3 linked regions of the Arabidopsis thaliana genome follow. The protein of the gene in region 1 interacts with the protein of each later gene in a pairwise test. Each region holds a gene or a part of one and is shown in the gene's direction. Other genes may lie near its edges. The genes, in order: AT1G76185, AT5G49130 and ABCI14.

What was found.
Region 2: the proteins of AT1G76185 (region 1) and AT5G49130 interact in a protein complementation assay, tested with the Arabidopsis thaliana proteins (one large-scale study listed by BioGRID).
Region 3: the proteins of AT1G76185 (region 1) and ABCI14 interact in a protein complementation assay, tested with the Arabidopsis thaliana proteins (one large-scale study listed by BioGRID).

Annotation. Positions count from the first base shown.
Region 1 is NC_003070.9:28,588,203-28,591,961, forward strand, and holds AT1G76185 (NADH-ubiquinone oxidoreductase chain), read left to right. Parts: upstream 1-2,122; 5' UTR 2,123-2,294; coding exon 2,295-2,407; intron 2,408-2,747; coding exon 2,748-2,955; 3' UTR 2,956-3,329; downstream 3,330-3,759.
Region 2 is NC_003076.8:19,914,202-19,917,960, forward strand, and holds the start of AT5G49130 (MATE efflux family protein), read left to right. Parts: upstream 1-1,670; 5' UTR 1,671-1,702; coding exon 1,703-1,768; exon of another isoform or gene 1,769-1,881; coding exon 1,882-3,324; 3' UTR 3,325-3,759.
Region 3 is NC_003070.9:6,844,560-6,848,318, forward strand, and holds ABCI14 (trigalactosyldiacylglycerol 1), read left to right. Parts: upstream 1-1,778; 5' UTR 1,779-1,911; exon of another isoform or gene 1,912-1,983; 5' UTR 1,984-2,069; exon of another isoform or gene 2,070-2,171; 5' UTR 2,172-2,252; coding exon 2,253-2,299; intron 2,300-2,389; coding exon 2,390-3,395; 3' UTR 3,396-3,563; downstream 3,564-3,759. UniProt on the Arabidopsis thaliana protein: Required during embryogenesis. Permease involved in lipid transfer from the endoplasmic reticulum (ER) to plastids, and necessary for thylakoids formation.

The DNA of each region.
Region 1 (3,759 bases):
ATGATCGGTTTATCAAGTTAAAGAAAACTGATTCAAACTTTAAATAGAGTAAGAATAATATGGAATAAGCAAAAATGTTTTTTCATTTCCTCTGAAAGCAAAAATAATTTATTTTTGACAACGCAAAAGAGATTTTAAAGAATGGGATGTCCCTATAAATTATTGTTCTTAAAGTTTCGGGCTTTCTTATATATATATATATATTCACAAATATAGGAACCATCTTGCAAATTCCAAAAATGGATTACAGATTTTGAAAGGATTAACAATTTAATGCACCATAGATTGGAAGACACGTGTCAAGCATTAGCGCAAATCGGACGACGGAGCTCATAGTCAGAAATGGAACGTCGGATGTAGACAAAGAAAAGAGTCAGAGAGAAATTTAGATTAATCAATTACATCTTAAAACGTGTCAATATAACATGGGAAGTTGTCCTTTTGTAGGACCCAATAGTATGTACTGATTGGCGTAAAAGACGTGATGTCGGTTACGTGGGTCCACTTGACTTATTGACTAGTGCCACGCTGGAACAAGCTTGTTCGAGAAGAAATGATGATTTTTTAGAAATTTATAACGTTCCTTATTTTTTCTTTCTTCTATTCTATGCGTTACAAAATACAAACAAACCAATAAGAACTTGGTTATTTAATTCTTATCACGCTATGAATCCTCAACGATTAGGTGTTATTTTAACTTATTATTCACTAAACATGTTGAAGAGGCCAATCTAGTAACGCATGATCTTTGAAATTGTAAATACATGATCTTGGATACTCTAAACAAAAAAAAAAACAAATCCAACAAGTAATATAAGTCCGATTGGCTCAATCGATTAGGAAGGTGTTGTTGCAATGCTACCGGATCTCATTTTTAGTCCTAATGCTACAATAAGACGGGTAATTTGCGCTTGTGAATCCGCCAAAAGTATTATCAAAGAAATGATCGTGGACATAAACAAACTAAAACTAAAGATTTAGATTTTAGAACGAATAGAAAGTTAGCATCATCTTTTGTTTACCATTTTTGGGGCACATAAAACAATCTTTCGTAATCTCGTTTATGGGAAAAGGGTTTGTGTATGTATTTTTTCAACGTAAATGGTTATGTTTTCATGCAGTTTTTAAAGATAAACTTAGATGTAGATAATGAAATCATGAGTAGACAAATGAGCATAAGATGACTTGGATTTCTTATGAATTAATATGTTAATGTGTGGGATGTCATTTTCGACCTATTGAAAAAGATATACTAAAAATATTAATGAAGGACAGATGGTAATCGGTAAATGCATCATCTCTTAAAATTCGCCTAAAATAAAAAAAATGAACCGACGTGCCACATCAGTAATCTCTGGTCTCTAAATTTAACAAAGACGTAGCACGAACCGTGACGTATCAACACACATATCAAACAAACCTATCTTTTTCAATACTAACTTATTCGTCTTTTTGGTTCTTGTTGTCATATACACCGAAGCTCAGCTCTTAACTTATTCTTTGGATAATGTTTTCGGTGATAGCGAACCGACAAATTGTAGCCGACACTTAGAATTCACAACTAAACTATAGATTTTAAAATAATATTAATTAATTCGAAAGTTTGAGATATCTGAACAAAGTTTTCTGAAAAACGTAGAATACATATGGATCAAATACTATAATTCGAAAGTTTCAGATTAGTGCTAAGTAATGAACGTCATGCGTTTGTTCTTCTGTCGATTTCTTCTTTTTCACCGCCCGTCTGAGTTTTATGGGCGTGATATTTTCCTTATTGTGGTCAAATCAGGAATATTCAACAATATTTAGCACTCGCTTTACTTGGTGGGACATGAGAATCAATCGATGCATCGCTGTTTTATTTCTTTTTCTTTGATGTTTCTATTTCTGTTAGAACAAAGTTTTCATGATTCTTAAAAGCCCAAATTTCATGGCATCGGAACAAAGTTTTCATATATGATGACAACTCAAAACAAAAGAGTAACGGTAAAAGCCCAATACCCATAAAATGGGCTTAAGAATCCAGATCGGATCTATAACCCGACCCGGTTGTTGACACCGAGAGAGTCCACGCAACGTTCGCCGAATTCCTAACGAATCGGACACCGTTTCGTCGCTGTAAAATTTTGATGCGAAATTTTCCAATTCACAGATTTTGTTTTTCCATTGTTTTGGATTTCTAGATTCTAGTTATATGTTGGTGATAGATTTTTCCTACATCTCGTGATTCTCAAACGCTTCTTGAGCTCTTCGTCGAATCGGGACTGTGATCGGGACTTGGTGGAGAAGAAGCGATGATAACAAGATCGAATCTAGCAGAACAGCTCAGGGAATATCAGATTAGATCAAAGCATGATTGGGCCTCCGTTTCTTTCTTCTCTTCCACCTCCAATTTCTCTTCCTCCAGGTTAGAGATCTCCGGCTTATCCTTTCCTTTTTAATCTGCTGTGATTTGGAGCTGCGTGCTTAGAGTTGTATTTGAAAAATTGTACTTTGTGATATTTAATTCAATTGGAACCGTAAATTTCTCATCTTTTAAGGGATTGTCGTTGAACATTGGATATCTATGTGAATCCTACACAAGGAACTATAATTTTGACTTGTCCACGTTGAACCATCTTTGACAATTTGACATACACTTTTCATTCTTATCGACTCTGTTGCAATCTGGATTCTATTGTTAAATTTTGACAATGAACATTCTATAGTGGTACTTATGCTATTCGTTTCGTTTGCTTTTGATTCAGGGTTGATGTTGTAGTCTTTGTCATATGGGAACTAGTGATGTTAGCACTCGTGGTGTTTTCAGCTGTATCCTTGTACTTCAGGCGGTTGCAACTTGCTTTTATCCTGCTTTGTGTCACCTTACTATTACTCCTCTGTATGAAAATCACAAAGCAAGTGAGACATGCTAGGAAGAAGAAGCGAAGGATGCTTCTTCCTCTCTCTATGTAAAGACCGAAACCATTGAGCTGTTGCGAACCGTTTATCTTCTCACACAACCAAACCACAACTCTTCTCTGGCATGAGTTTTGTGCCCATATGCATTGATGAAGATGACAGCTAAGCTCAGACTGACTCTGGGACGCATCGCTTTTGTCCTTTGAAGAATCGACCTGAACTTGAGATATGAAACCAGGGACTGCAATTTCAAGGCTTAGCTTAGACAAATCAGAACAAAAGTGCTGTAAAGGTTGTTTTCCTGTATAAAGTAGTATGGGAGGTTGCTTTATTTTTCCTAGGCACGATCACGGATTGTTAACTTGAGCGTTTTGTGATTAAAGATAGTTTTTCCATCTATCTATGTTACACTTAATATCATGATGAAGTGATTTAGATTTGTTGGCTGTAAAAAGTTTTTAAAAAATGATTTGCAGGATTTTCATGTGACGAGAAAAAGAAAAACAACGAACACTCATGAAAGTAGAAGAGAGAACTATAAAATGAAAAGTAGCAAGCAACTTGCTCGAAACGCTCACATGTTTCTATCATTACCTTTGCGCTCTGCAACTACTTTAGTATCTTGTTAAAGAAAAAGTGGTAATAGTTAGTATTATTTGTAATGTTATGGTCTGTCAATACACTAGCTTAGCTTGATTTGATTAACTTAATTTCCAAATAATGAGATACTGTCTACATGGTGATATAGCTTTGTCAAAGTTCATTAATGACAATGACAAAAACAAGTGTGTTAGTAACCAAGATAATTGCATTTAGTCGTAATTCATGTTTTGAAACGGAAATAATTAGAAAGATCGA
Region 2 (3,759 bases), on another chromosome or scaffold:
CTATGAAAACGATCGATATGAAAATCTGATTTACATATATAATAGTATTTTCAATTAAAAATCATTTTCCTCAATTTCTATATATGTGTATTTAGCATATATATATATATATATATATCAAATAAACCAAATAACTTCAATAATAATTTAAATATATGAAAATTAAAAAAATTCACTACTCATATGATATAATTCATCACTATAGAACTTATAAAATAAGATCCTGGTAAAAAAAGCATCAATCTTGTATTTCAGTAGTTTATAATGTTAAAATATATGTAATCAAACTTCTCATATTTTTATTAAAACCACACATGGGCTATCTAGCTAATTCACACACACATATATATATATATTGTTTTCGATTGTCATGATGATCATTTATCCACGTAAGCAGAGACAAGATGTAAAATGTCACTAGTTTATAGGGAGTGGAGTGGGAATAAGTAGGAAAAGGGAAAAAATTAAAGGAAAGGTATACATAATTTTCAAGTCGATTTTGGGTTGATAATTACAGTGAGAGGGAGACAACACATTGCGCTATACCTAATTCTAACTAGTTTCATTTCTAGACTGATGGACCAATCATATCACTTTCTACTAATATCGTTAGTTTGAGCTTCATAAATATCTTTTATCACATTTTATTTTAGAAAGGTTGTTGTTAGTTCTATGCATCTTTTTAAACCACACGAAGTTTCAAAAATATTCATAATAATATTTACGCCTTTATAACTAACATATTCAATTTCTTACATTTTATCATGGACAAAAAAAGAGAGTAGTTCCTCAGGAGAAATACAAATTCGATATCTAAAATCAAGTGTTAGTAATCTATTGGTTAATATTTTTTCAACACAAAGATTATTTCATGGTAAATGCATTTTTTAAGATAACAATTGTATGTTCGAACACTAGTTTAGATTCTCTATATGATTTTCCGATACTCAAAGAAACTATACACTCACTTTCTTAACAAATTTATTAGGCCAAATATATACTGTTTCACCGGAGATGCATTCATATTTACTATGGATTAGATAACAATTGTATGTTCCGAACACTATTTTAGTTTAATTTAGATTGCCTATATGCATGATTTTTTTATAACCAAAGAAAATATACACTCACTTTCTTAACAAAGATTAAATAAAGAGATAATCATAAATGGAACTTTGTACTAACAGAATCTTGAGAAGAAATTTGATTTGAGTTTTGTTCTTTTTTTTTTGTTGTTTTAAATTTCCACATGCCTATACTTTCGTTTGTTTATGTGACGCTTTTGTACGACAAAATCAGGTTTGGATTCGTACTTCTTTTAGGTCAATACATTCTTTTGTTTAATTCTGACCAAAAATAAAGAAATATGTTGTTTAATAAAAATGTAGGATATTGAGAGTCGTACTATAATAAAAAAATAAAAAAATCTCGAACTTTGATAGTATAAGAGATATACGATTAAATCTTGAACTTAATATCCTATATTTTTCTCAAACTATACTTAGTTTGTATTTATACTTGTATATATTAGAGTCCACACAAAGAAAAATGGATAACAAATAATGACATCAATATTTTGGGAACCCCCACCATGCCAAACCCAACTCCATGTTACAAAACAAAACAAATAAAATTTCTTTATAAAATGGCATCTTCTCTTCATATTTTTTAAATCTCTCATCTCAATAAACAAACACTAACAATGGTGGTCGAAGAAGATTCACGTCTCATAAATCTCCAACACAAGTACAACCCGACAATGCCCGAGGTACTAAATTAAATCTAAAACTTCTATTCTTAGTAAACTTCTTCCTCAGATAGAGTCTTTCAAATATCTCCTCTCTTATAATTATTATTTTTTTATTTAAAATATTTAAAAAGGTGGTGGAGGAGCTGAAGAGAATTTGGGACATAAGTTTTCCGGTGGCCGCCATGAGCATATTAAACTACCTAAAGAACATGACATCCGTCGTGTGTATGGGACGACTCGGTAGCCTTGAGCTCGCAGGAGGAGCCTTAGCCATCGGTTTCACCAACATCACCGGTTACTCCGTCCTCTCTGGTTTAGCCACCGGTATGGAACCATTATGTGGTCAAGCCATCGGTTCTAAAAACCCTTCACTCGCTTCCTTAACCCTCAAGCGAACCATCTTCCTCCTTCTCTTAGCTTCTCTTCCCATATCACTCCTTTGGCTAAACCTCGCGCCTCTAATGCTGATGCTCCGCCAACAACATGATATCACTCGTGTCGCATCTCTCTATTGTTCCTTCTCTTTGCCTGATCTTCTCGCTAATAGTTTCCTTCATCCTTTACGTATTTACTTACGTTGTAAAGGCACCACTTGGCCTTTGATGTGGTGCACGTTAGTCTCCGTCCTTCTTCATCTTCCCATTACTGCTTTCTTCACGTTTTACATCTCTCTCGGAGTTCCCGGAGTCGCCGTCTCTTCTTTTCTTACCAACTTCATCTCTTTGTCGCTTCTCCTTTGCTACATCTACTTGGAAAACAACAACAACGACAAAACCACTTCCAAGTCTCTTTGTCTTGATACGCCGTTGATGCTGTATGGTTCGAGAGACTCCGGTGAAAATGATGTGTGGTCAACGCTGGTTAAATTCGCTGTTCCGAGCTGTATAGCGGTTTGCTTGGAGTGGTGGTGGTACGAGTTCATGACGGTCCTCGCTGGATATCTCCCCGAGCCGAAGGTGGCGCTAGCAGCAGCCGCCATCGTGATACAAACAACCTCATTGATGTATACAATCCCAACGGCCCTCTCGGCCGCGGTATCCACGAGGGTAAGCAACGAGTTAGGAGCAGGACGGCCAGAGAAAGCAAAAACAGCGGCGACTGTGGCTGTCGGAGCCGCCGTGGCAGTGTCAGTGTTTGGACTTGTGGGGACCACCGTGGGGAGAGAAGCTTGGGGAAAAGTTTTCACCGCCGACAAAGTTGTCCTCGAGCTGACGGCGGCGGTTATTCCGGTGATTGGAGCTTGTGAGCTTGCCAACTGTCCTCAGACCATTAGCTGTGGAATCTTACGTGGCAGTGCGAGGCCAGGTATAGGGGCCAAGATTAATTTCTACGCCTTCTATGTAGTTGGAGCACCAGTGGCGGTTGTTTTAGCGTTTGTGTGGGGTTTAGGCTTCATGGGCCTATGCTATGGCTTGCTTGGGGCACAGCTAGCTTGTGCAATCTCCATTTTGACCGTTGTTTATAACACAGATTGGAACAAAGAGTCCTTGAAGGCTCATGACTTGGTGGGCAAGAACGTCATTTCACCTAATGTCGATCAAATTATTGTCAAATGCGAAGAAGGCCTACACTAACAGTTTTTCCTTCTCTTTTCTTTTTGTTCTTCATATATACTATCTCCATTTATGTCTCAATGATTTGCTTTTGTTTTAAAACTTATACATTTATGTAAGTGTCTTCATTGGACAAGGACAGAATGTAAAACTTTATGAAACACAAAACTGTTGAAGATTTTGCATTATTGAAGGGAGTGGAATCGTGGATTGGATGATGAAGACTTATATGGATGCGATGGCTAATGACCATGACGTGTAATATATATTGGGTGCATGAGTGTATATAGAGATACCGAACCACATGGAAAAACAAGAGCTAATTGGCCGGAACACATGTGCAAGCATGTGCATGTGTACCCATACAAAATAGGCATCATATTAGTGTCCTTGTGGCTTCTCGCTTCTTTTCTCCCACCTTAATTATCTTTCACAACAACTAAAGCTTTAAGCTCA
Region 3 (3,759 bases), about 22 Mb from region 1:
GCTAATGTTTGGGATTCGATCCTATGCGAGAGATCAATCTTAAGAGAGGTTAAACTTCACATTCAATAATGTACCGGGAATGGAGACTTCAAGAATCATCGGCTTGATAGACCACTAATAAAAAAATGACAAAAACTAGAACATCCAAATATATGTCGTTCGAAAATGTAATTCCGTAGCTAGCTTATACAATTCTATACACAGAAGATATTTCGAATATAGACACATATAAGATGTTGCGGTAATGCAATTTTAAGTGTAGTTGGACATGGATTGGTGAGAAAAGTAAAGTGAAAAAAAGAAATAATTAAGGAAGAGGGGGCTATAGCTCTGAAACCCTAGACGAAAGCAACACTGCATTGCCAATAGTAGAAACAGTGCGATCACGAGATTCAACTCATTCCTACTTTCTTACTTCTTAGTATCCACTCCACTTGTAGTACTAGCTAGCTCCCTGCCACGTGGTCCTCTCCTCTTCTTTTAGCTTTATGGGCCTTGTAAAGCCCGCGGGCCCCATCTGCCCATCCCATGCACATGCATCACATTATGCTTTCTCTCTATCTACGAAATTACGAATATAAGTATACGTATAGAACACTTTTTACAATAACCAAGGGTCAAAGTTTTCTCGAGTCGGAGGATATGAACTAAATAGTACATTGTCTACCAGCGAAGCTTGAACATGAGATCTTGAGACACATTTCCTTTGGAAGGTACTGAATTGAGTGTTCATAGCGGTTCAAGGAACTCGATTAATTTAAAATACCTGAATTACCATTTTTTTGGGGATTCGTTGTGCTTTTTTAATCAATCTACCGGAAATGAAGACAAGTTTTGCTAAAAACGTAACACTTGAATATTGTAAATTTGTAACATAAAACTCTAAAACCTTAACAAATTAATACCTCTAATTAAAATAGAATACTCATAAAAATATAAAATGTAAAAGATACAAATATTGAATATCTTCTAATATAATTCTAAGATGCGAAAGATATAGTAGTCGAATTAAAGCAACCAATTTCAGCGTTTCCTTAAACTTATATTTCCAAAATATCATCTAGGACAGTTTGTTTTTTTTAAGAATCGAGACCCTCTACTAAACTCTTGCATTCAATTTGGTAGAATCACGTTTTGTGTAGGAGAGAAGTAGTGCTTTTGGTTTGTAGTGTAGAGTAGGGTAAACGTGAGTATATAAAACGTAGAGAGGCATATATTATACAGAGAGTGTGCTTTTAAAGAACGGACCGGCTGAAGAAAAAGATAACGTTGTTGTCTCCGTAAAGGTTACCAAGTATCACTGTCACGTGACCACCACCATTCCTCTTTTCACATCTTTCTCCTTTCGATATTGGTTATATTATAGTTAAGTTAGCATTTAGTTAAATTTACTATATATTAGTAAGCAATGAAGGGGATATTAGTACAAATCTGGACATGAAATGTAGGCCTTTATTTGATTGATTGTCTTGGTATAAACATTTCATATAATAGCTTTGTAGATTTATACAACCAATTAAATAATTAACACTTTACATATACAGAATAACATAAAATGTTTAGATCATATATTTTGTCATTTTGGATCAATAGAGAAAAACACTCATTGTTATTTTCTTATTTATACTTTTCTGTATCAGTCTATGTGTAAAGTACAAGTGGACCTGCCGTGAATGGCATAGAGCCCACGCTTTACTTGTAAAAGTATATTGGGCTTTACGGCCCACGGACCAATTTATGTTTTGCCATTGGTTTTTTTTTTGTTTGTTTTGTTGGGAGTTAAACCCACACATCTTCTTCGCAACTGTTAGTTGTGTGTGTTGTTGTTGTTGGCACTGTGCCACTTTCTCTCTCGATGAACCCTCTCAAGCAAGCTTCTTCGATCTTCCGAGCTTAGTTTCGTTTCTAAATGTAAGTTTTCAAGTTTTTGTTTCAGTAAGAAGATTGATAGACCTAATTATTTGTTCCCCTTCTATATAGTAGAGATTTCACCTAGATTGGTCCGTACATATCTTATACTGGGATTCGAATTTGGCTGCCTCAGAGTCAGAGATTGATTAATTGATCAGGTCACCGGAAACTTTTTGTCTCGATTTGGATCTCTTATGCAAAATCTGTTGTGTCCTAATTCTATTTGATTGTAAATCAATTTGATTCTGGGTTTATTACAGATTCAGCTGTTGAAATCGTGCTTATTGCTACAAATTGAGAGGCACTAAATCAGTGAGGTCGTAAAGAAGAAGGCAACCACAATGATGCAGACTTGTTGTATCCATCAATCGTTTTGTTTCCCTCATAGGTATTTTGTGTTGCCATAAGTTTATAAGCTTTCTCATTTGCTTCATTGTCAGAATATGTTATTTTGGATTCTTGAATATTAATTTTGCAGAGTCTTTCCACGGTTTGATGCTTCGATTGGTATTAAGCCCCCAAAGCTTTGTCAAGTTGGTTTCATTGGAAAGACTCAATCTTATGGGATTTCAAGTCCGATACGGCAAAGAAGATTATATGTGAATTTGAATGCTAATGATGGTCACCCATCCATGTCTATGTTGGAAGAAGAAACCTCTACTGAAAACAACGCACCCAGTCAAGAAGCCGAGCTTCCGTTCAGCAAATGGTCACCTTCTAAGTACATATGGAGAGGTTTATCAGTTCCTATTATAGCAGGACAAGTCGTTCTCCGGATTTTAAAGGGTAAGATTCACTGGAGAAACACTCTTCAACAGCTGGAGAGAACCGGACCGAAATCTCTAGGAGTTTGTCTTCTGACTTCTACATTTGTTGGTATGGCTTTCACAATCCAGTTCGTTAGAGAATTCACTAGACTAGGTCTAAACAGATCCATTGGAGGTGTCTTGGCTTTAGCCTTCTCTAGAGAGCTAAGTCCAGTCATCACATCGATTGTTGTTGCTGGACGAATGGGAAGTGCATTTGCAGCTGAACTAGGGACAATGCAAGTCTCAGAGCAAACTGATACACTCCGTGTTTTAGGAGCTGACCCAATTGATTATCTAATCACTCCAAGAGTCATCGCCTCGTGTTTGGCTCTACCGTTTCTGACACTCATGTGTTTCACTGTTGGTATGGCTTCAAGCGCTCTGCTCTCTGATGCAGTTTACGGGATCAGCATTAACATAATCATGGACTCGGCTCACCGAGCACTTAGACCATGGGACATTGTGAGTGCCATGATTAAATCTCAAGTCTTTGGAGCTATAATATCGGTAATTAGTTGTTCTTGGGGAGTAACCACTACTGGAGGTGCTAAAGGTGTTGGAGAATCTACAACTTCTGCTGTCGTCATGTCTCTTGTCGGAATCTTCATCGCGGACTTTGTGCTTTCTTCCTTCTTCTTTCAAGGTGCTGGAGATTCTTTGAAGAACTGTGTTTGACATATTATTTTCTGTCTTCTTTTGTTGTGGTTTAGATGGGTTTATGTAAATCAGTTGTCTTAAATTGAGAAAGTAACATCATTTTAGAAAGAACAGAAAGATTGCTATATTTCTATTCCAATAATGATACACATTGAATAATCTTGAACTATATAGTTCATCGGAAAATTTGCAATCAGTATGGGCGGAGTTAAAATGTTATGCTATGAACTTATGACATAACATCTTATTTGACCAAGCAGATATAACATGGTAAAACCAAACTAGCTTACTTGACCAATAATCCAAAAAAAATAAGCATGAAGTTTTGAAAAAATGTTGAAAACTGGAAAAACTTGGCCAATCTCTTGACTTTTCTCTTCAC